Linked DNA regions of Xenopus tropicalis. The protein of the gene in region 1 interacts with the protein of each later gene in a pairwise test. Links are inferred from orthologs where the notes say so. Each region holds a gene or a part of one and is shown on either strand. Other genes may lie near its edges. The genes, in order: bysl, ltv1 and stx11.

Evidence for each region.
Region 2: the proteins of bysl (region 1) and ltv1 interact in binary tests that used the Homo sapiens proteins (3 or more experiments, as listed by UniProt). The two-hybrid records come from large-scale screens. The link is inferred for Xenopus tropicalis from reciprocal best matches to the Homo sapiens genes BYSL and LTV1.
Region 3: the proteins of bysl (region 1) and stx11 interact in binary tests that used the Homo sapiens proteins (3 or more experiments, as listed by UniProt). The two-hybrid records come from large-scale screens. The link is inferred for Xenopus tropicalis from reciprocal best matches to the Homo sapiens genes BYSL and STX11.

The regions. Positions count from the first base shown.
Region 1 is NC_030678.2:70,758,085-70,766,365, forward strand, and holds the start of bysl (bystin), read right to left. Parts: upstream 6,001-8,281; 5' UTR 5,983-6,000; coding exon 5,724-5,982; intron 4,610-5,723; coding exon 4,447-4,609; intron 1-4,446. Other genes in the region: med20 (mediator of RNA polymerase II transcription subunit 20), read left to right, coding at 6,147-6,160. UniProt on the Homo sapiens protein: Required for processing of 20S pre-rRNA precursor and biogenesis of 40S ribosomal subunits. May be required for trophinin-dependent regulation of cell adhesion during implantation of human embryos.
Region 2 is NC_030681.2:64,491,295-64,499,478, reverse strand, and holds part of ltv1 (protein LTV1 homolog), read right to left. Parts: intron 7,781-8,184; coding exon 7,649-7,780; intron 5,716-7,648; coding exon 5,527-5,715; intron 4,587-5,526; coding exon 4,499-4,586; intron 3,682-4,498; coding exon 3,549-3,681; intron 3,448-3,548; coding exon 3,213-3,447; intron 2,782-3,212; coding exon 2,654-2,781; intron 2,159-2,653; coding exon 2,022-2,158; intron 1,170-2,021; coding exon 1,117-1,169; intron 178-1,116; coding exon 1-177. UniProt on the Homo sapiens protein: Essential for ribosome biogenesis.
Region 3 is NC_030681.2:45,303,515-45,311,798, reverse strand, and holds the start of stx11 (syntaxin-11), read right to left. Parts: upstream 4,662-8,284; 5' UTR 4,607-4,661; intron 4,466-4,606; exon of another isoform or gene 4,441-4,465; intron 4,163-4,440; exon of another isoform or gene 4,138-4,162; intron 1-4,137. UniProt on the Homo sapiens protein: SNARE that acts to regulate protein transport between late endosomes and the trans-Golgi network.

The DNA.
Region 1 (8,281 bases):
TGGCGACCCATATTAAGCCCTCCTGGGCTTCAGCGTAAGGGTACTCCAATTACCACATCAAAGGGGGCACACTCGTCTGAATGACGCCCTGGACTTATGCAGCATCTGGGGGCACGGTCGTCTGACAGGTGCCCAGGCAAAGTTTTACGGTGTAATCCTTCCGGTAGAAAAAAAAACACTGAAGGTTGGTGGAGGGAAGAGGGTTTTATGGGTAAAGGGGGCGGAATAATTTATTGGAGAAGGCGGTGTTTTTCCTACCCTAGGGGGCTGATTTACTAAGACACGATTTCGAATCTGAATTGGAAACGAACATTTTGCTACTTTTTCGTATTTTTTGCGATTTTTTTCGGCGTCTTTACGATTTTTGCGTAAAAACGCGAGTTTTTCGGCGTCTTTGCGAAAGTTGCGCAAAGTCGCGATTTTTTTGTAGCGTTAACACTTGCGCGCAAAGTCGCGCCTTTTTCGTAGCGTTAAAACTTAAAAGGCGCAAGTTTTAACGCTACGAAAAAATCGCGACTTTGCGCAACTTTCGTAATGACGCCGAAAAACTCGCGTTTTTACGCAAAAATCGTAAAGACGCCGAAAAAATCGCAAAATTACCGATCATTACGAAAAAAACGCAATCGGACGCATTCAGCCCGTTCGTGGGTTAGTAAATGTGCCCCTAGGTATGACGTTTCTCTAAGTAAGTTCTGCCAAGGGACGTGAAATAGGGCATTAAAAATGGATAGACACATTTTTTTCGAATAGTAACAACCAGAACAATGGAATTAATAACAAAAATAAAAATGGAGAGAAAAATAATTCACCAAAGTGGGCCAATAATTAGATTTTTTGTTCCTAGATCAATCACTATTATAAAGACAAACACTGGAATATTTTAAAAGCTGATCCTTATTTGGACTTGATTTTTGGGTAAAAGCCTAAAATAGCTTTTCGCAAGGCCATATCTACTAAAAATGATCTAGCTCCTAGTCAACTAAAAACAAATGAATTGAATAGTGTATCCCTTGAGGGTAATTTTATATGTAACAGCAAAAGGTTACTCACATGTGGAGTTCTAGGTAATAATTTTGATACCTTTAAATCTAAAGTGAATAACAAGGAATTTAAGATCAAACACTTGATTAATTGCAACAAAAAAGGTGTGTGGCCTACAATACATTGGCCAAACCAAAAGACCCCTGAAGGACAGATTTAGGGAAATATCCTTTACAGTGATAAAAGTTATCTAAACACATTCTTGAAATCCATAATGGAGATCTAACTGGTTTAAAGGTATGAGGAATTGACAGAACATAAAGTTTTACTTCTGAGGAAGATTAAGGAATAAGGAAAATTATTGGATTTACAAACTACAAACCTTGTTTCCAAAAGGTCTCAATGAATTAGCTGATTTTGTGGTTATTCAGAGAGGATTTGATATATGTAAAATTTGCTAAAAAATAATGTAATTATATCTATGTATATATATTTACAGTCCTTTTAAAAATGTCTTTATTAAATGTAATTATTTATTTTTTGCAATTCTTAAGTTTATAGGTGGTGTTCCACCTTCCCTGTGATATATGCAAGTTGCAACTGCACCATATAAGGGTGATTTTATGCCTCCTTTTTATAAATACAGGTGCCTATAATCATGCCTATTTTTGATAAACTAGGCACACAATATAGCAATCTTAGCGATGTGGTACGCACCTACAAATGCGCATGCATGAGTGATGGATTCTCATGTGCTTTACAAGCTGGAACGCATAAACTATTGTGCATGCGCCATTTAGAAATACTGGCGCAAAAATCTGTTTCCGAACATAGATAGACTAGAACAGCGGTTCTCAACCCTTTCACAGGGGTCACCTAAGACCATTGAAAAACACATATTTCCGATGGTCTTAGGAATAATTTTATGTTTGGGGGTCACCACAACATGAGGAACTGTATTAAAGGGTCGCAGCATTAGGAAGGTTGAGAACCACAGGACTAGAACATGCTGAAAAATTTTTTTTTTACATTTCTTTGCAATTTTGCACATATTATACTTATAGCAGTATTTACCCCGATTAAAGGACCAAAATGTTAGGCACCCCCAAGTGACTTTAATCGCCTACCTTCTTCCTGCTTCGTGAGCGCGCATGCACAGTAGAGTGAAAAGCCGAACTTTAACAGAGAAGTCGGCTTTTCACTCTACTGCGCATGCGCCCACCGCATAGTCACAGCTTAACGAAGCAGGAAGGAGGAAGTGCATCGCTCCAGGTACCCCGGGGGCTGGTGCTGTTTTCTCCTAACAGGGGCACCAGCCCGGGGTACAAGGTAAGCGATTAAAGTCACTTGGGGGTGCCTACCATTTTGGCACCCCCAAGTGACTTTGCCTTTCCTTGTCCTATAAGTTGGTTATAGTGATTTTCCAACAAAACACGTTGGTATATTGTGGTATATTGTTGCCAGAGATCAGCCCAAATATTCCAGTAAGGCTGCATTGTTAAACTATATCTAAGTAGTACTGCTGAATTGTGGGAGAAGCAGCATCTGGGCCTAGGAACTACTGGTGAAGTACAGCCAGAGAATCCCCCTTTTTCAAACACTGCATGGTTGAATACCAATGCTACCAACACTACTAATACTGTGGGACTAGCAGCATCTGGACCTGAGAAGTTTTGTGACACGTCTTCTAGTCTCTGATGCCTTGTAAGTGCAATTTTAACTTGTTTTGAGCTCTGGACTGGTGGTTATAGATGGGAAGACCAGTTTCTCTAGTAGTGGTGGGAAGGAGAGCAGAGCTAGGCCTAAACAGATTGTGGTTATAAAGGATTCAATTATTAGGAAAGTGGACAGGGTTATCTATCGACTGGATCGCTACAACCAGACAGTATGCTGGTTTCCTGGTGCTAGGAAATCAGCATACTGTCTGGTTGTAGCGATCCAGACAGTATGCTATTTTCCTGGTGCTAGGATTTGGCATGTGGTTGATCAAGTTGACAAATTATTGGGTGGGGCATGACCCAAATGTCTTGGTACATATTGGTACTAATGACAAAATAAATGGTAGGTGGAGGACCTTAAAGAGTGAGTTCAGGAACCTAGGCTCTAAAAAAAAAAAAAGTCCTCCAATGTAATTTTTTCTGAAGCTTCGCCTGTGCCACGTGCAACGTTTAGGGAAACAGCGGGAGCTTTGGGAGCTAAATGTTTGGCTGTAGGGTTTGGGTTCCTAGAACACTGGGCTGACTTTTCTTTGGGGTACAATCTATACAGCCATGACCGATTGCTCCTTAATGGAATGGGGGTCCATTGTGCTGGGGAAAAAAAATGGCTAAGAGGCTGGAGGAGTGTTTAAAAAAGGCAGGGGGGGGGGGGTTATGGGAAAGCTAGTGTAGATCTGGCAGTGGGATAAGCAAGGATACATACATTTTACCAGCTAAGGAGATTCCTCTGTTACATGGAAAACCCCTAATAGTAACCTCAGATCTAACTCTTAGTTCTGTAATGTAAATATTAGAGGGAAAAATAGTAACCTCCACGGCATGCTGGCAAATGCACAGAGCTTGTCAGGGAAATTAGAAGAGCTGGAGTCTATTGAATGTACTGACAATTAGGATATAATTTGTATCACTGAGACCTAGTGAGATGAAACAAGTGACTGGGCTGTGAATATACATGGTTACACCCCTTTTAGGAGGGATAGAGGGATTAGAAACAATGGAGGGGTTTGTCATTATGTAAAGCCATATACTAAAGAAATTAGCAGAGACAGCAATTCAGTTTCATTTTGCTCTACTGGTTGCAACTATAGGTAAACTAAGCATTCATTCACACTAGGGATAAATGGGATGACTCAAAACCCACGAGAACCAAGCCCTAGAAGCGGGTTTAAGAGGGTGGCAGGTAAAACTGCAACCAGGTGATGTATTAATTCTAACCCATCTCCTGTGGTGACTGGTCCCACCCATATAAGAGTCATCGGAGAAGAACCACATAAAAGTTATAGTAGAAGCTGGGTTGGAAAACAGCAGGTTAGGGTTGAAAATGTTATGAATCACTCATCACTAATTTGTTTTTATTCAAAATCATCTTTTGACTAAAATGTACATATCCAGACCTGTTAAATTTCACAAATGATAGTGTATGGATAAAGTTCCGTAATCTTTGCTATAAAGTATTTCTATTAATGATTATTTTATTCAGGGGCTGGCCAAGCCGACCGGGCACCCTAGGCAACCCAATTGGCCACCCTGCACCCCACCTCTCATGTGTGTACATGAGAAAGTGCACTGACATCCCGGGTAGGATGCGAGAAAAGCAGCTGGGGCAATAGTGTGTGTACTAGGGGGTAGGCAGAAGAGGTAACTGTCACACCCCCACATCGTTGCTCCCTTCTGACTACCCCAAGTTCTGGCCCGGCTTTATTTGACCCATGTAACCCTTGGCGTCTCCAGATAGTTGCTACTTTACCTTAGTGGAGGGTTCTTATTCATAAACATTTCCATTGCCTTTTCATCTTCAGGGTTAATTTGTACCTCCTCGTTGAGGGTACCTTTCTCCAGACTGGCTGCCTTCTCCAATGAAGGCCACTCATCATCTTCAGAGTCTGAACCCTCTGCTCTGTTCTTGGAATCTGAAGGGCAAGGATTTACAAAAGATAATGATTGATTTGCCAATATACAAGCAAAGATAAATATGAAGAAATAATGACCTCTAATTTGTAAATAAGTTAATTCAGACTGTACTTAGTGAATGCTACAAGGTCTGTTTCTGTGGAGCACCGGTTCCAAACAATTCCCAGGGTAGGCCCAAGAGAACATGAAATATTTGTAATGCGAGTTAAGGGTCACAGTCTGAATACATTTAGTGCATGTTAGGCTATATTACACACTTTTTGTTCTAATTACAGCTAGTATAACTGAGCATACTGTACCTTGTCATGGCTAAATAGAACTAGAAAGCAGCACTGCCTGTATGGTACCTTTAATTTAAAAAGGGTCCTAAAAACATTTTTGATAAAATCAAATCTTAAAAATTAAGATGAAGGTGCAGTGTACAATCCATTTTTGCACACATGATTCCGGTCTTTTATAACATATACACTAAAGTATATATGCTATGTGGAGTATAATCATTAAAGGAGAATGCAAGTCAAAATTTAAAAAGCATACTGCCCAATAGTCCTCCTATTGTTTAGTAAAAATGCCACACTTTTGGCTCACCTAATCAAATATTTACTCAGTCACACTTACTTCACATATTCTAGAACAGGCAGCCATCTCTAAAAAGGTATTCTCCCTTCCTTTCCCTCCTTGCTTCATACTGCACATGTGTTTGCATGGAGATGCATCAGCATATAAAACAGCACATTAGATATCCTTCATTTTATCACAGAATGAAGTTAGCAAATTATTTATGTACAACTTTTCAAATATTCTTATATGTGTATGACTGTATCATATTATATACCTGGAATGTTCAATTTGAACCAGCTAATGAGCATTTGAGCATTTCTTTGGCCCCCAGTAGACTTTTTTTGCATGGCAAAATTTCAATATAATCTGGCCCTAAATGGATTACATTAATGGATTATTAAGACTGTCCCATACTCGTTTCTATGTATTTACAACTACAGCACTAGTTGTTGGTTATGACTCAGTCTAAAGACTCCCCACTGATTTTATATACCGGTTTAAAAACTTTTGTTTTGTATTCTGCCTTGGAAATGTTTCTTTACCCTTTTTTACCTAAAACAGTTGTCCTCTCTTTAGGGGTCACATTCCCCAGACTATATTCGGCCTCCAATTCCTCCTGCTGAATACGGGCCTGCTCCAGAATCCTTCGGGACAATTTCTCGTCCACGTATCCATCATCTTCGGCGTCGTCTGTAGGTTTCCCCTTGCGCTTATTACGGAACGAGGGTCTAATTTCTCCCTCCTGTTCGATCTGATCAGCTAAGGGGAGTAAGCGAGAAGCAGCTCCCCGAGAATTTTTGTGCTTTGGCATTTTCCTGACATACACGTGCATAGATCCACACACTGCGCATGCTCCTATTCCCCTGGCATCGTACGCCTCGATGTGGGACTTGCGTGAACCGCAAATAATGACAACAATTTTGAGCGCCGTGACGTCATAACACGTCGCTGTGTTTTGTACAATTAAGTACCAGCATGGGAGTGACTTGGTAAGTGTTTGTCATTTTTAATGTAGTAGTAGAAAAAGAAGAAACGTCATTTTGATGTTTGCAGATACGTGTTAACTTCTGGATTGTTTTTATCTTTTGTAAACTAAGTTTACGCTTACTTATTTGCATGACTGCTGCTTTGTTAATTATAGAAAAACGGAATCCTACGAATTCAACACTGCAGTGCAGTATCACACTAAGAATGCTATGGGTAATAGGGAGACAGTTAAAAGATATCCTTTTTTAAAAATCAACACTGTAAATATAACCTGTTGAAAATGTATTCTGCCTCTTATTTTCAGGATTTTTTTTTGCCTTTGTTAAGGAATAATAGAATTTTTTAATGATAATTTTGAACCCCCAATAGCGTTGCTGGTAAAAAAAAAAATGTGCTGGATGCCAATGTTATTAATAGGGTATAAAGTTATGAATATAGGAAGACTGATATACTATACCAAAATATATCTGTCTTATGTTTATCTTCCTTTCTTATAAATAACATTAACAATAGCCATGATTTCTTTTTTTGCCTAGGCAGCAACCATACTTCCTATTGCTGTATGATTGCCTTCAGCCTGCATCCTCCAAATGCCACCATTGTACATAACCCACAATGCATTGGAATGCTCCAGGAAAAGAAAATCACAGTAAATTGGATATAGATTTTCTCTTTTCCTGTTCACATTCTCATGGCAGTCCGCACAATTGGGAGGGAACATACACATACCAAATGCTGCAAAATACTTTACTTTTTTATTCAAAATCTGCAGAAGCAGAAACATTTTTTAATGCTTCACAAAAATATTAGGACACCTCCAAATTGCTGCTTTGAAAATCTTTTCTGGTGACGCTAAACCTTTGAGTGCCCATGATGCTGCCATACTGGATACATCTTACAATATACATGCCAGTGTTTGCTTAGCTGCACTGGTAATATGAAGAGAGATTTTGTTTTTCTTAACTTCTTTGCCCTCTTTAGAGTCATCTTAAAGGAACAGTAACACCAAAAATGTATATATTTTAAAGAAATTAAACTATAATGTACTGCTGCCCTGCACTGGTAAAAGTTGTGTGTTTGCTTCAGAAACATTACTAGAGTTTATATAAACCCTGCTGTGTAGACATGGGGGCAGCCATTCAAAAGAAGAAAAGGCACAGGTTATATAGCAGCTAACAGATAAACCCTGTAGAATACAATGGTGTCTTATCTGTTATCTGCTATGTAACCTGTGCCTTTTCTCCTTTTTTCCTGCTTGAATGGCTGCCCCCATGGCTACACAGCAGCGTATTTTTATAAACTATAGTAGTGTTCCTGAAGCAAACACCCCAGTTTTACCATTGCAGGGCAACAGTACATTATATTTCAATTACTTTAGAACACTTTCATTTCTTGGTGTTACTGTTCCTTTAAGACATCAAGGTTGTGCCAACAGATTTCTTTATCATTCTGCGGACAAGCAAATTTATCTTCCTAAAATATTAACAAATCTTCTGAAATATATAGTTCCTGGAGTTTGGACACTCTTCTGGCCAAGGTTATGGCCAACAAAAACACAATTTGTTAATTTTAAGGAATGTCCTGAATAGGTTGAAATGATTCTTTCATGAGACTTATGAGAACCAAAGGTAAATCCAATCGTCGAACACTTTTTCTGGATTGATATGATGTGAACCTTGAAGAAACTGAACTATCAGAGGATTTGTAGCCCATTTAGTTTCATTAGGTACTGATAATGGCGTTACTTGTCTCTCATCCACTCCACTTTGCAAAAATTCCAGAATGTGGTTAACCTCAGGACATAGGCAGATTATAGTCCTTACTTTCACACTACTTGAAAAACACTTCCCATACCTGATGGTAGCTTTTTCTTGTGGAAATTTTCCTGGAATATAGTTCTGATAACTTAGTATTTGGGCATTGTAGGAGGTTGCCATCAAATCCATTGCTCTTGGCCCGCATCTCTGATCGATCTCCTGAAAGATGCTGTGGTTCAAGAAATCTAAAAAACTTGTTTTTCCCTGGAGTAAAGACTGCTGTTATAGACCGGAAATTTACCTCTGCCCACAGGAACAATTTTCAAGATAAGAGAATTGCTCTTCGTGCCACCCTGTCCACATACT
Region 2 (8,184 bases), on another chromosome or scaffold:
TTTTCTAGCTTTGCGCTCTTCTTTTGATTCATCTTTGGGACGTAGCTGTGTTGACACTCTGGGAAGATCACTATTGTTTATCATTTCCATTTGTTCAACCTGCTTGGCAGTGAGTCCCCTTGCCGGAAGAACATCCAGAGGAATACCAGTTTTTGCAGATACCCGTATTAATTTTGCCTGCAGGAAATAAATTACAATTTGCAGTTTTCGAAAAATTCAGCTTGCTGTTTATGCCTAAATGTATTCAACAATCAGAAACTATACTTAAGCTGTAACACATCTCTTCCGTGTTCAGCTAGGTCTAGGGATTTGCAACTTATGTATCAGCATTTTATGCACTTGCATTTCATGTCATATGTTTTAGAAAAGTTGTTCCTTTTCATGCATCAATATATAACATCTTTGGGTACTGGTAAGGCAGTTGCCTTCAAAAGCTGGGAAACTGGAGCGTCTACCAGAGGAGTATCAGTCCATTCTTCCAGGGTTTCCTTGGAGAATGGGTACAATTTTTGTTTTTAGTTTAGTAATTTGTGTTCAGGCGCGTTCAACTTCTCCTGGATAATGAACTGTAATTGGTCATGCGCAGGAAATACTAATGAACGGTCAGTACCCAGACAGAATAAACCTTTTGATTTTTTTATCCGAGGACGTGGAAACCTCAACCTGGTCTGCCGAGAGAGTAGACTGATGGAGAAAGTTCACGCTCATTGAGGGGTTTCTCCCTGGAGTCTGAGGGAGAGGTGTGAACAATGCAGAGGGGCCAGTTAATCTCAGTATTAATACAATTTAAAGTTTATACTAAAGTAAGTAGTCGCAGCAGCCAGACAGATGGGGGTGGCAGCATGGGCCAGATGCGGCCTGCCAGTTGGACAGCACTGATCCAAATAAATGAACAATAATTACACATATAAATACATCAAGCTGCTAGACTGCTTAAAGTGATTGCTCACACACATTTACACACAGAGAGAGACTAGAAATACAACTGCAAGGCTTGAAAGAGCCCTGTCTGAAGCAGTATGGCACTATTATCATTGTGACCACCAAACTAATAACAAATAATTTTTGTGCTAAACATTAATAAAAATTAAAAAACAGCAAGGTTCATTTTCTTACCTTGGGTGGATCCTTGATAATCTGTGGATGATTGTATAAATTAGAGTATGTACCTTTAAAAAGGAAAAGAACCTAATTACATTTCAATGTGACATATGACATATTGTTCAAGATGTACGCTAAAATGATTTTGATCAGTACACATACTCTTGCCACTGATCTATAAATTGCCATAAGATAATTTCCAATCCGCCAATATTTAAAGGGCTTTTAAGGTATACGCCTATCTGGGATTAGTATTGCGGTACAGGTATAGGACCCGTTATCCAGAATGCTCGGAACCAAGGGTATTCCGGATAAGGGGTCTTTCCGTAATTTGGATCTTCATACCTTAAGTCTACTAAAAAAATCAATAAAACATTAATTAAATCCAATAGGATTGTTTTGCATCCAATAAGGATTAATTATATCTTAGTTGAGATCAAATACAAGGTACAGTTTTATTATTACAGAGAAAAAGGAAATCAATTTTAAAAATCCTAATTATTTGATTATAATGGAGTCTATGGGAGACAGGCTTTCCGTAATTTGGAGCTTTCTGGATAATGGGTTTCCGGATAAGGGGTCCGATACCTGTATATACAGGAACAATTTTCACTCTGCTTAAATACAGATTCTAGCTTTTAACCAAAGTATGGCGCTGTGATGTTCTGTTACTTTTTCTCCAGTATATAAAAGGGTGAAATAGAGCTTGCAACAAATTACCAGAGGAAAATTTCACTGTTCTTTATTGACTTGTATAGAATTTTCAGGTAATGGTGTGTTTACCAATCAGTGGTTGAAATTTTACCTATTTAGAAAATATGCACTTTCCCATTTAAGTAAATATGATAGCTGGGAAATTACTCTCTAGTGATCAGTGGTGAGCACTAAAGTCCGATATCCTCAGTTCTTTATAGACTCACTCAAAATAGATTCACAGTCCCATTTTTCTCTAGGCTCCTCAATAACTAAATTTTGCATATCTTCTTTATTATCTTCATCTTCCTCAATTACTGAATCCATGCCATCTCTAGGTGTCAGGTTTTTCAGTTTCACGCAGCTGCAAAAGGAGTATGTATATCAATTAAAACTATATTTTAACTATCAAAATGGAAAAAACAACTTGCCATGTTAACCTTATAATCTAAACGTTGTAGGAAATACAAGTTTATAGACAGTACAAAAGTGCAAATAAATGCTATAGACATCTCATTTTCAGTTCCAGGGGCATAGCAACAAAACAGCAGGCTTAAAAGCTGCTGGATGGCCAAGGAGTAAAGAAAACCAAATGACAGTCCAGTCTAAACAGTGTCCATAAATGTGGGTTGATTTATAAAGGTCTCCAACCAACCAACCAACATGACATCGCTCTTCAAAAAAGTACCCCTGGCAGGTGTTTTTATGCAGTGGACAAGACCGCACCATTAATCATTTGACTCCAGTGACCCCACTGTATTAACATTTACTTTACCCAAGATCAGATAGTATTGCAACAGTATATATGAAAGTATCTATTTTGAAGGTGTAAGTGAACAGAAAATAATCAAAAACATACTCTTTTGCTTTTTGCTTGTGGTAATCATTTATTACTTCTTCCAACCGACCACTGTTTGAGTGAATGAATCCTTCCAATTCTGTGTTATCCAAGGCTCCAATTTCATCATCATCAAACTGTTCATAAAACTGAGGATAAAATATAAAATTATTCACCTCCATTGTTTTAAAGAAAGTAAAAAATTAATGGAAATACACTGTAGCTGTTAGAAGAACTACATTTGTTTTACCCATCCATTTGGCAGATAGGTAGATACCAAGTGGTAGCTACCTACACTTCTGGTAGCTATCACTTGGTAGATGCCAAATAGATGGGTAAAACATTGAGCCTGGAAAACAAATTTAGTTCTTCTCTTGAAGAAGAGAGTCATGATATATATATATGACTAACTAGGTTAAAAAGAAAAAGCTACTTTAATAAACCAAAAATCAGATCTAGGACCCTAGAATAGTTGGAGAATGTCCTGCTTTCACTAAGCATAAGCTTCTAATTATTAAACTACATTTGTTTCTTATCATCATTGAAAATATGTCTGTAACTGGTTAGATGATTTTCCAACCTTTTCAAACCTTTCATCAAGAAGGGTTAGTTGCTCATTTCTCCTAATAACAGAAGATGTCATGGAATATTCTGTAAAACGACTTTTTGTTTCCTCTTGCATAAACAGAAACTCTTTCCTGGCTCCTTTACCCTCCTCATCATCATCCTCATCTGAAACAAGTCCATCTGAATCATAGTCATTTTCTTCACTCTCAACATCCTCCCAGTCATCATCATCTTTTTCATGGGATGATCTGCAACCATGTAAAGAAATGTATAGATGTATATGCTGTGTAAATATACATCTATGTAAGGCAAAAATAAAGATAACTAAGGAGAATAAAGTTTAGAGTACCTCCGGAGGTCATCACTATTAGGGTCATTAGCCTGTAAGATAAAGTCATCATCCAGCTGATTCTCTGGATCGCCAAAATTAAAATCATCATCCAAAGCTGCTACAATATCTGGATCCAGGTCAAGACACAAACCTAAAGGCAATAAACCAAAAAGCTAATCGGCTTGCTTGATTGGGCACATGTTGGCCTGGCCAACAACAGCAAATATGTGTCAACCATTATTTTATTTAAACTAAACCATCTGCTATAAACTTATGGTTCAATGAGATGTAGTTTTTGCAATGTTTCAGAGGATGGTATAAGCTTCTCAGGTAAAAAAAAAAAAAAAGATTCATAGCCTCAGAAAGGAATTTGTTTCCTCTTGAGGCAAATTGGAGATGGCTTCAAATTTTTCATCTTCCTCTTTATCAACTACAGGTTGGTGTAACTGCGCTTGAGGGGATTTGTAGGGTTTTGATGAACCAGGGGTTTGTTGCTCTTTTATATAAGGACAATACTCTAGAAATCTCCTTCCAGTGTGCCCTGTCCTCTCTACTAACAGAGGCTTATCACTAAAAAATGCAGGCTGTTTTGGAGCATTATGTTCCTGTAACTATAAACTCTCTTAAGTCAAATTAAACTCTTCCTTTTTAGCTTTTTGTAATACTTTTCCCGGAAAAGGAACTGTAAAACAAAATACTATTAATTGCTTCTAAGAAACTTAGTTCACAGTAACCTGCATATGCCATAAAATGGCAATTCTCACCGATTTTGTCAGTTAATTTGGGAATTTCGTATCTGCAAAATTTTTTTTTTCCATGACATAAGTCAAAGAATTAAGGGTTAGGTGTATGTTTTTTGGTTATGCCTTGAAAGCTCATCAACTATTATGAAGTGGACTTAGAACAAAAATAAATGTGGGGAGGAAACTTAAAACTTGGGGCAATCACTTTGCTGTTAGCAACCTTACCTCGAACAGGAGCTGCTTTATTTAACAATCCAACATCTTCCTCAAATTCAGATGCAAACACAGATGATGGCAAATTTATTGATGGACCCTAAATAGAGATGAGAGAGAGAGAGAGAGAGAGAGAGAGAGAGACAGAGACAGACTTTAAATACATTTATGCTAAAAGATTTACTACAGTATGTGTAAAAATAGTCAAAAACAGTCATTACAGTCATCCACATTAATACACATTACTGTAAGTCAGTGCTAGAGCTCACATTTCATTGGCAGATACCATTGACAACATTTGCAACTGAACACAACAATGCCTTTTATCTATCTGAGCTGATAAATAGACTGAAGATAATCTGAGAGAAGAAGTGCCTCTATGTAGTGAGCTTAACAAACATCCCAACTTAAGGGCTCTGGCACACGGGGAGATTCCCCGAAATGCCATCCCACTGATGAAAATGTAAAGCGCCAATGGCATACGCGGCGCCGCGACTTCCCTGAAATTGTGGAAGTTGCCTTGAGAGGAAAGCAAGGCGACTAATCTCCCCGTGTGCCAGAGCCCTAAAGGGTATTTTATGATAGGGTTCCGAATATATTGTACTGTGCGCACAGCCCAATGATGCAAAAAGGGATCAACTATTATTAATGTATTAGTGAACTGCACACAAAATCAGTAATTGTCACCAAAATTATGCCTGCAACCAGTCTTAAGACATATTAAACAGGAGGTGACTGTGCTGAATGGGTACTAAAATACAAAAATGAAAAAAGAAAGAGAAAAACAAAGATCTAGTGAAAATCCTCATAACAAAAGAGACACTGTGCCAGCCCTGGACTACACAATTATAAAGTGAAAGGTGTCTAACACAATAACACCCTTAAAATTATGTGTTTTCTTCTCCTTTAATGCACACATGGTTTATCGTATGCAAACTTTAATTCTCCAGGTTTGTTATAGAGGCACCAGCATCTGAAATGCAATGTCAACTCTGGCTGCCATAAACATATGAATGCAATTAATAGCACAGATGCCATACGGGAAAGCGATGAGGCTCCTCTTCTATGCCACTCTCCCGAGCAACGATAACGCAACTCTTTGACTTGCTGGTCTCAGAGGAAACAAGTTCTAAAGGGCCTCTTTCTTTGAGGTGCTGTAGGTAATTATAGTCATCGTCAAAAAAGACTCCAAAATTTCTCTGTTCTTCTTTCCTTTTTTCTGTTTCTACCTGCATAGGAAAAGAAAAAAGGCATAAGTCATTGTAGCAGTAGTTCTTAACTTTAGTACACTGTTCTTCTTTAGGGCCGTGGCAGCTCCGCATATGCCATCCCACTGACTATTTACATTCTAGCTGGTGGGATGGCATATCGGGGAGCTCCCCATCTATCACGGCACTTAATCAAGAGAGGCCAGACATGTCTAGAAAATGAAATAACTCTGAAATGATTGGTTCAATCAATACACTGTTCTTCAAACAAGATAGCCCATAGATATGAAATGCAAAATTATCCAGCTAATGTGAACTGTAATTTATAGCATTATCCACTAGCTTTCTGGGAAAAACAATATCCAGGGATGCATAGAGATTTCTGTCTGTAAAGCAGAGGCCAGATTATATTTGGGAATATTTCTTTAAATGTATTTATTATAGTACACGATTTCTGAATCATATGGGCATGCTAACAGATTACAAAAGAGAATGGTAGTGGTGCAGCCATTGAATAGAATTCTAAAATATGTTTTAAAATTTAAATTTTGACTAGATTTCTAGATTTTGCCTCACTGCTGGTGCAATCACTTGAAAATCAGAATCAGTAAGTGAGGCTATATTTATATAGACGAAAGTACCTGTGGGGGACTGAAAAGTTGCGGTCTGTAATGTTCCTTTTTCATATTTTGCAACAAAATGTAATTTTTTTCAAATAATTTAAATCCTGTGAGTGCTGACACTTTTTTCTTATATATATTATATATATATTATATATATATTATATATATATATATATATATATATATATATATATATATATATATCCCTACAACCGACGTTTCGGTCCCTTTTGGGACCTTTTTCAAGGTATCTATTCGGTATTCCGTGCACAGGGGCAGCTACATTGTAGCAACTTTCGGAGTGTCGTATATATATATTATATATATATATATATATATTAGTGCCAGATTTATATCTGATGCTGCCCTCTGTATTGTATGTAGGCATCAAAGAGGACTACCCCCTCTTTCACCTGCTGCAGCCTGAGGGCTTTTGTAGAAAAAAAATTCTGTATAGCCACCCAAAGATTGCTAATTATGTTAAAAGGTCAGGCATGCAACTGGTATTTAAACTACTTGTTTGTGTGACCCAACTGGCAACATAAAATGAACACTTAAAGAAATATTGATCAAGAAGTTTGGAAATTGTTTTGCAAACCAAGTCTTGCATTTAAAATTTTATAGAAAGGGATACCTGCATTCCAGGCCAATAACTCTGTTACTAGTTACAAATCAAGTTTACTGTTTTTTCTACAAGAAATTTGCAGTAGTAGGTACAACATTATATACAAACTTAACCCAATAAGTGTGGGACTAGGGATGGGCCGAATCCAGCCTTTTTTTGATGGATTTAGTTTCGGCCGAATCCACGGTCCCGGCTGAACCGAATCAGAATTAACATAAATTAGCATATGCCAATTTGCATTCGAAAATGGCTAAATTTTAGGGGGGCTTTTTTTTTTTAACCCTTCCCAGTCCTGATTAGCATATGCTAATTAGGATTCGGTTCGGGATTTGGCAGAATCAGTCAGGGTGGGTTCGGTGCATCCCTATGTGGGACAGTAGAGAAGAAGATGTATCTATTTGATATGTATCTTTGCATGGATTTAGTATTCAGGACAGCACTTCAAATGAAAGGTAATACTTCCCAATTTTATCCTTTGTTAATAGTCTGACTGTCCCAGGAGAAAAACGGTTCCTGAATCTAGTACTTCTTATTTTAATAATAACTGGTCTCCTGCTGCTTATGCTGTAATGTGTTTCTGCCATCTGAACAGTTTGTTTGCTAAATGTGCAAGATCCCTTGATCAATTGTTTAGACATACTTTTGTAAGCAGATGTCACAAAGCCTCAATTAGTGCTAAATAAAGTTTAAAGAATTAATATCCCACCTTTTCAGCAGGTAACAAGACTCTCTGAGGAGCAGTTTCATCAGCAGCCAATGGATCCCTCTGACTCCTGTGCACCAGATGAAAAGTGACTGCTTTGTTCTTTTTAATAAATGGTTTCTTCTTTCGGTGAGGCTATACCAAAACAAACATTATTTTATACAAGACATAGCTTATCTGTTCTACAGTAATGGAAATATTCATGTGTACAGTAATGGGGAAAAAAAAAGGTTTTTAATCCCTAAGGACAAAAAGTACCACCTTATAGAACAGATTTACATATGCTTGACAAAAGAAAATAAAACTTTTACTTAAAGAGTTTGTTAGTAACTTAAATTAATTAATTAGTGACTTGGAGAACTAATTGCTGAGATTATTACTGGTTGAAAATAATTTCATAATAAAAAAAAATTATATATATATATATATATATACAAACATACTTATACACACCCATACACACGAGTGCAATCTATACATAATAAGCAAATTGCTTGAGGTCTACTTGGGTCCTCCATCCTTAAATACTACTTGTGCCT
Region 3 (8,284 bases), on another chromosome or scaffold:
GGAGTAATCTTGTCCCCTCAAAAGCACCTCTTCTCCAGAGAAAACTTCTCCAACCATAACAGTCTTTCTGTCCATTTTACCAGTTTAGTTAACATCTCTGCACTCTCTCCAGCTCATTATTTTCATCCCTTGAGTTAATGCTCTTCTTAATGCATGATAGTACTCAGGGCCGCTATCAGAAATCACGGGGCCCCTCACAACAAAATTTCTGGGCCCCATCCCCCAATAGCCCCTCCCCCAGTGACCCCTCCCATCAGTACAAAGGACACACAGACATTGGTAGCCAGGGCCCCCCTAAAACATTAATAGCCAAAGGTTACATTTTGCATTGGAGCCAGGGCAGGGACCCCCAGTGTCCCCATACTATGGGCCACTCCCACTGCAGCATCCTCCAGCTCCCTCCCAGCGTCCTCCAGGTCCCACCCAGCTTCCTCCCCAGCATCCTCCAGCTCCCCCCTAGCATCCTCCCCAGCATCCTCCAGCTCCCCCCTAGCATCCTCCCCAGCATCCTCCAGCTCCCCCGCAGCATCCTCCCCAACATCCTCCCCAACATCCTTCAGCTCTCCCCATCGTCCTCCTCAACATCCTCCAGCTCGCCCCAGCGTCTTCCCCAACATCCTTCAGCTCCCCCATCATCCTCCTCTACATCCTCCAGCTCCCCCCTAGCATCCTTCAGCTCCTCCCAGCATCCTCCCCAACATCCTTCAGCTCCCCCCAGCATCCTCCCCAACATCCTTCAGCTCCCCCCAGCATCCTCCCCAACATCCTTCAGCTCCCCCCAGCATCCTCCCCAACATCCTTCAGCTCCCCCAGGCGTCTTCCCCAACATCTTCCAGCTTCCCCTCCCCAACATCCTCCAGCTTCCCCTCCCCCTCGCCTGCCCGCTTCGTCAGGCTGCGTTCCCCGTCTCTTCTTAGGTCCCACGTTTTGCTGCTGCAGCTACTGTTTTATTAGGTTGCGCCCCGTGTGTACCCTTAACGTCAGCATGCATGGGGCGCAACCTTATAAAAGAATAGTATAAAATTACCCGCTGACCACCAATGAAGTGAAAATTTTTAAAGGGGGCCCGTGCTTAAAAACTGTATCATGGCTGGGGCCCCTTTAAATCCACGATCCTCCGGGCCCGGGACAACTGTCCCCCCTGTGCCCCCCTGATGGCGGCCCTGACAGTACTAAATTTGCTTAAGAAGCAACTAAATGGCACTGCCTATTGTTACACAGTTTGTTATTCACAAAAATTCCCAACATCCTTCTCAGTTAAGGAAACCTCCAACACACTACCATCTAGTGTATAACTTGCATTTGTTATTTCTACCAAAGTGCATAACCTTGTACTTCCCTATGTTGAACCTCATATGCCAGTTTGCTGCCCAGTTCTCCAATTTAGTCAAATCACTCAAAAAAAAAAATCACTCACTGCAAAGTGGCAGCATCCTGCATTGAACATATAGTTTTGTACAATTTAGTTGCATTAGCAAAACAGAGTACCTCCAATGCCCATGTTAAAAAGCAAATGGCTATGGCCCAATTAGAAATTGCTCCATTTACCACCACTCTTTGTAATCTATCCTTCAGCCAGTTCTTGATGTGCATTACATTATGTTCCAGACCAGTACTACTGAATTTAATTAGTGACCTTCTGTGTGGTACTGTTTCAAATGCTTTATCAAAATCTAAGTAGGCCACATCCACTGCCATCCCAGAGTCTAGGTTTCTGCTTACCTCTGGAACAAACACACAGTATTGTGATATTCAAGTATTGTCTCCCTTATTATCCCCTCCAAAAGCTTAAAACCATCAATTGTAAATGTTAATATTGCTCCAGGGCCAGCCTGGGACCAGCCCAGATGGCCCTTTGTTGGTGTTCCCAGGGCCCTTATTGTTCTGTATGTTCCTGAGCAAAGATTGGGCTTCTTATTTCCAATACATTTGTCAGCTCAACTTCCTCCAATCCTCTGTAACTAAAGATAATTCTGACATCTAAAGAGATACTGACATTAGAAATTGAATCCTTTTTACATAGCATAACATTTTCTTTGCATGCTTTTTAAAGTATTGACTTAAAAGTATTGGCAAAACAGTCAGGTTTAGGAACTTCAAGTAAAAATTACTTACAAAAGCAGAGCTATCAGAGCAAAACAATCAACATGACCTATAGATAACTTTTAATGTACATAAATAATCTGGAGTAGTTTTTTAGTGTCAGTATCACTTTAACTTGATCAATGCCATTGGCACCAAAGCAAAGATCCCAATTTTTTGCTGCCACCTGCTCACTACAGCTACATCCACCACAATGCAATAAGGTTCTAGTATTTTGTCCTCTATACAACGCAGCACAAAATTCAAAAAGTGTTTTCTGTTCACCTGAATATAGTACAGAGCACCACAGCCTAAGTGTACCAACACTGCTAGAAGCCTGCTATTATTCACTCTCTGAGCAGCTGGTCGATTCATTTCCTAGAGAGTGTTGGGCTGGGCATTATGCAAGTTTGTAATAAGCTGAAGTTCTTATTTATGGTGATCCTCCAGCCTATCATAACATTTATCCTTCCTCAGTCCAGAGTGCTTAAAGGGGACCTGTCACCCTAAGAAATAACTCCAAATTATTTTCTATATTGTTAGTTGAGCAAAATGAACTTTACTTACTCTATATAAATAATATCAATCTTGTTTCTTTCCGTCTTGGAATTACTCAATCAAAGCAAGCAGGCAGGCACCATTTTGTGGACACTGTTATTAAGGCAAGCTTGGTATCATGCCAAAATCTTGTTTATATGCCAGAATGGGGGACCTGATGCCCAGGCCCTTGCACTGGCTACACAATTAGATGATGAGGAGGGAGGGGAAAAGTGAGATGTGCAGTGACATCTAGGTAGTGCTGAACGAAAAGCTAAAGTTATTGTCTGCCCCGCCTCTATGCCTAAGGCATAAAGGCGGGGCAAGCAATATATGATTGACATCTGGGATTTTTAAATGCCTCTATAATGGGTTTGGATGTGTTAATATAAAAATGAATTTGGGTTTCATGTTTAATTTGAAAAGGACTTTTATTATACAGCTTTTTATGTCTGGGTGACAGGTCCACTTTAAGAAAATGCAGGAACCAAAAGGGAACCACATCAAAAGATGTGTGTGTTATCAGTTGAGGATATGTCAGTAAACACAATGCAACAGGGTTCCTTTGATGATGGTTATAAATTCCTTAAATAATATCCAAGTTGCACAAGCTCTCCAGCATCAATGATTCTGCCTTCCTTTATGATAAAACAGTCTTTTTCTCTACATAAATACATGGGCATGAAAGTCAGTTTGTCACTTCATCTAAGCTTGTGATCGCTATAGAGGTTGTGCTGAATGGAGCTAACCATATTTATTTAAACCTGCAGAATATTCCATATGCATTTTACATAGCTTCCTATGGTATAAATCAGATAGCTGGATTGTCACTCTTAGATGGTGGGACAGAAGCTAACAGATGCCAGAGAAGATTCTGTGATGTCATTTTATTACAGGTCTCTGCTTGCAGCATAAAGAATATTCTGAAGCTGCATTCTCAGCCTGTCTGCCCTAATTGCTTACTAAGTTTAAATCTCTTCATACAAGGCTAAATATGAGTGTTTGGCCAGGGTGTCAGGTATAACCTCCTTAAAGGCCAGTTTACCCAAAATGTGCTAGACTACAAAGCAAAAAAACATTTTACAAATGGTTTAAGTATAGTGGGAGCTGTAGTCCAGCAACTTCAGGGTGTGTATGCTAGTTCACAATAAAAATCTACCCAGCTTTCTAGGACCAGTGACCCAAATTAATATGCAAAGTAATCCTCCAATAAGAATCCCTTTGATTAGTCTCCATGTTGTTTGTTTTGTCACTGTAATTGGAAGCTTTAAACAAACCTTTTCTATGGCAGAACTACACAGAAGAGCATCCTCCCTTGTGATGCTACAGTGTGATAACATAACAAAATGACATAATGCTGACAAACAGCAATCTCATTGGTAAATTCTCTTGCATCAGTAATTAGTCATGTACTTAAGAGAAGTAAGGGACACAGTGAGAAAGTTTACAACCTCTTTAAGCTCCTTTCTATTTAACCTGCACATTTCTGATCTCCTACACTCAGAATCATCCTCTCACCATTTATGCGCAGTCTCGGCCACAAACCTGTCTGTAGCTCGCAGGCCACAAATTAAATCATCTTCCTTACAAGAGCTTGAAAATACCCTCACTGGTGTATAAAAAAGGAGTTTGCTGCACCTGCACAAGCAAGTACTGTACTACAACTCCCACAGTGCCCAAACTGCTGCTATATTTGAACTACACAATTTCCCACAACCTTGTGACAGATTACTGTAGTACAAAAAGGGCTGAAAAGAGGGGGCAACTGAGGACTAGAAACATATTATTATTGCCAAAAGGAAACACAGGGGGTCTTATAACCAAAAAGGATGCTTGGCTTCCACACTGATGGTACAATGTACAACCTTAACAGCACAAAGACACACTTTCACAAAAAGAAGCACAATGTTTCTCTAATCATCATAACGACACAAGTTTACAGGGTAATTGGCCCATCTCCAGCAGTCTGCCCCAGTTCAGCACACACCTTATTTTCCCAATCAGGTTCAGCTGCGAACAACTCCTGGCCAACAAAATGAACTGAAAATTCTATTCATACAAAGCAGCTATATAAAGCCCGGACGGGCTGATTGTTTCTGCTTCAATTTGTAGTAATGGACTTTCTATACGATTATGCAGCACATTATTGCTACGGCATCACTTATTCATTCAGGGGTGTAACTATAGAGAAAGCAAATGCTGTGACTGTTGGGGAACCCAGGAAATATGGGCGCCCAGAGGGGCATAGATTGATAAACTCAGTCTCAGTATATTTTTATAAAAAATACATTATTGCCAAAGTGGCAAATGACTTTGTTATGGGGCGCAGAAACTTCAAGTCTCCCCACTGACCTGTCTGTTAAACTTTCTGTCACTCTGAAAGTCATGTGTTTGATTATCCTTTATATCAGCCAGTCTCGGTTATCATGTTATATACTGTCAACCTGCCCTGTGCAAATTGTCCATCAGATAACCAGTTCTTAACAGTGTCTAAGGAGCTGGCCCCACAGGAAAATGCACCTAAAGCAACAATGCATGCACTTACCTTTAACCAACTGCTGGGTATAGGTGAACTCTTGCTTTGTAGCTCCTTAATTCTGTATTACAGAGCTGGGAAACTTTTCAAGCTGATTGCCTTCAAGCCTCAAGCCATGCCCATGCTGTGGCACTCACACAGCCTACTTCCTCTTCACTCACAGCGAGCAATAGACAGGCGGCTGCTGCTGCTGTTGTGCTGCTCAGTGGGAGGTGAAGTGTCAGAAGAGGAAGCAGGGTGAGCACATGCACCATGTGAGTAAGCAGGAGGTGTTTCCATCTAAATGAGAAGCAGATAATACTTAGAATTTCTTTATTGGAAAAGAAATGATTCAGAAAGAAACCTCCAGGAAAACATATAACTACTCTGTAAGTTTTATCCACACAGACCTGGCCCTTAAACATCCCTCATCTGCCAGATTAGTCCAGTCCATACTTTTATACCATACCCTGTAGCTTTTCTTTTTAAAGGTTTTAGTATAAAATAGCCAAATAAACATACATGTATTTGATTTTTTTTACATTAATGGTGTGGGGGATTCACAAAGACAGGCACCTAGTGTACACTGGTTCTGTAATATATTTCAACCAAAGGCACATTAGGCACAATCAGTTAAAGCATTACATGCAGGATTATGGAATGTCCCTTTTACACTATATATTTTTTCTTTAGAGAAATTTTGATATATTTGTGCCCATATGCACCCCCAAGGGTGGCCCGTGTGCATGCCTGTCCCCTGACCATAGGTACGTCTGCGCTAGGTAAGGTACGGATCTATTCTTCGCAGAACTGCCTTCAGGTTAGCTTTTCTAATGTGTGACCTGTGCTGCTGCTGCGTGAGGTACCACAAACAAGGGGTGTGCATGGCAGTTTTTCTTTTTCTGTACAGACATGTCAACTCACACAAGTTTTCAGGTTTCACCCTATTTTTGTTTCTCTCATCTGGTCACCAAAAGTAGCAACCCTAGCCAGATTCTACTGCCTGTACACTGAACAGCAATATTATACCTTATAAATGATATATGGTGGTTTATAAATTGTTCATATGATGTGTATGTCATATAATGTGTTTCTACAGGGTGCCATTTACCCCAGATGGCCCTCCTTCATACTATAAGTACTGACATGCTCAACAGGAGCTGTTTCCTTCCTGGGGTATTTATGAGATTATTCACTTCACACCTTAGTAACTATCTGACTGAACCCTGACTAAAAAATTTACACCTTCTCTGTTAAAGTCTTATATGGTTATGTAATATATGTAATAATGTAATAATAATAAAATGTGCAATGTTTGCCTCAGGTCTAGTCACCTATAGCAACCAGTCAGCGGGTGGCATTTACTGGTCACCTGTTTTAAGAAAACATCTTTGTTTTATGCATGTATATATAAAACATTTTATACCTGATTGTAAAATGAAGGGACTATCAGTTTATATGTATGTGTATGACATAGCTACATAGTAGTTGTAGTAGAAAACAAAACTAGACTGGCTCTCAAGCTCAACCTTGCAAAATGTGTTGTAGTCATTATTGATTAAGGCGCTCTTGAGATCTACAATTTTCTCCTTACACAGCCTTACATATCAGCACCCCTCAGTGAATGGGGCTTTTCCCAAAAAGAAAATAACATGTGAACTAATACATTTCTTCCACCCCCATCCATTTTAACTTTGGTTTTAATAAGAAATATGCGAGTTTCCACTTTTCTGTATGGAAAGCCCTGAGTGTTTTCTTGTCATTTCACTATAGCTATATTAAGTTATGTGACGCCTGCAACCTGAAGTGATTCATTTATCGTATGTTACTCCCCCCTCCCACTAGCTGCTCTTCTTAAAGTACAATGGTCTGTGGTGATTGTACCACCTCCTGGGTGGAATCTCCCTTTCAGTTCATGGGAGGATGCAGTAAGGTTGCATGTGATGTGAAAATAAAGTAATTTACTAGAAAAAAAAATACAATTCCTTGTTCAAGGAAATGACCCTGAATTTAATGATCTGAGAGACCTTGAGAGTTCTTGTATCAACACTGGGCATTTTTACACGTGGACAGTAACTGATGGCAGTCAATAACGTTTAGCTTTCATTGCTCTTCCTGCTATTGGCTGAAAAAGTTACTGTAATTACTAATTGGTTGTTATGGATCACTGAGCAGTTGCAAGTTTTCCCAGTGTTAGTAAATGAGCTTGCAGGGCAGAAAATGCCAAGACTTATACTTGTACTTGATTGTCAAGAGGTAACTTGGAGTTGAACCACTTTATTCCTGTCAGTGATCAGCACTGTTTAACAATAACAAGTTCTTCTTTTGTTTAAAAAACAGTTTGGGGAATTTGGGGAGATTTGATGCCAGTGAGAATTATGTGGTAACTGCGAGCAACAATGCGCCAGTGTGAATTTGCTGAACATATGAATCATATCATCAATGCTTACACAATTCTCATGTTTTACCTCTGGCGATTCACACTGACACCAGTGCTAGGGTATATTTAGGAGATTTGTCGGTAGCACAGATTTCCCGAAAAATCTCCCCATTTGCCATAACCCTTAAAATTTCTACATGTGCTATACAGTGATTGTTGAGAAACCCACAACACCCCACTCTCTTTTGTACCATTTTGTAAAAAATAGCAAAGTACTATAATAGACCTTTATGCGTAAGATAGCAGCCTACTGTGACCCTACTGTGGGATAATTTTTACTACTGAACAAAAGGAAATTAAATTCAAAGAGCCAAATGCACAGTCCCACAAACAGGGGCTGAAAATATCTTCACGACATTCCCAAATTGAGAGCTGCCATTAGGTATCTTGGGAATCCATATTCTCCCCCTTGGCCACCCCTTCCCCCTCGATGGTGGCCCTGTTTAAATACTGGGACCTCTTCTCTCCTTACTAACACACTGCATATCCCCCCACCTACCCTCAATTTGCCTACGAACCAACCAAAATTAAGTACTGTTACTGTATTTATTGCAAAATAGGTTTTCCCAACTGTTGTGCCTTTCCCCCTTTTCTCTTCTGTTCCCCCATTTGGAAAACCAATTAAGAGATATAATAAATTAAATCCTGGGACATATTTTATCTGTCCACTACATCCTCCTATGCTCAGCCATGCCCAAAAATCAAAAATA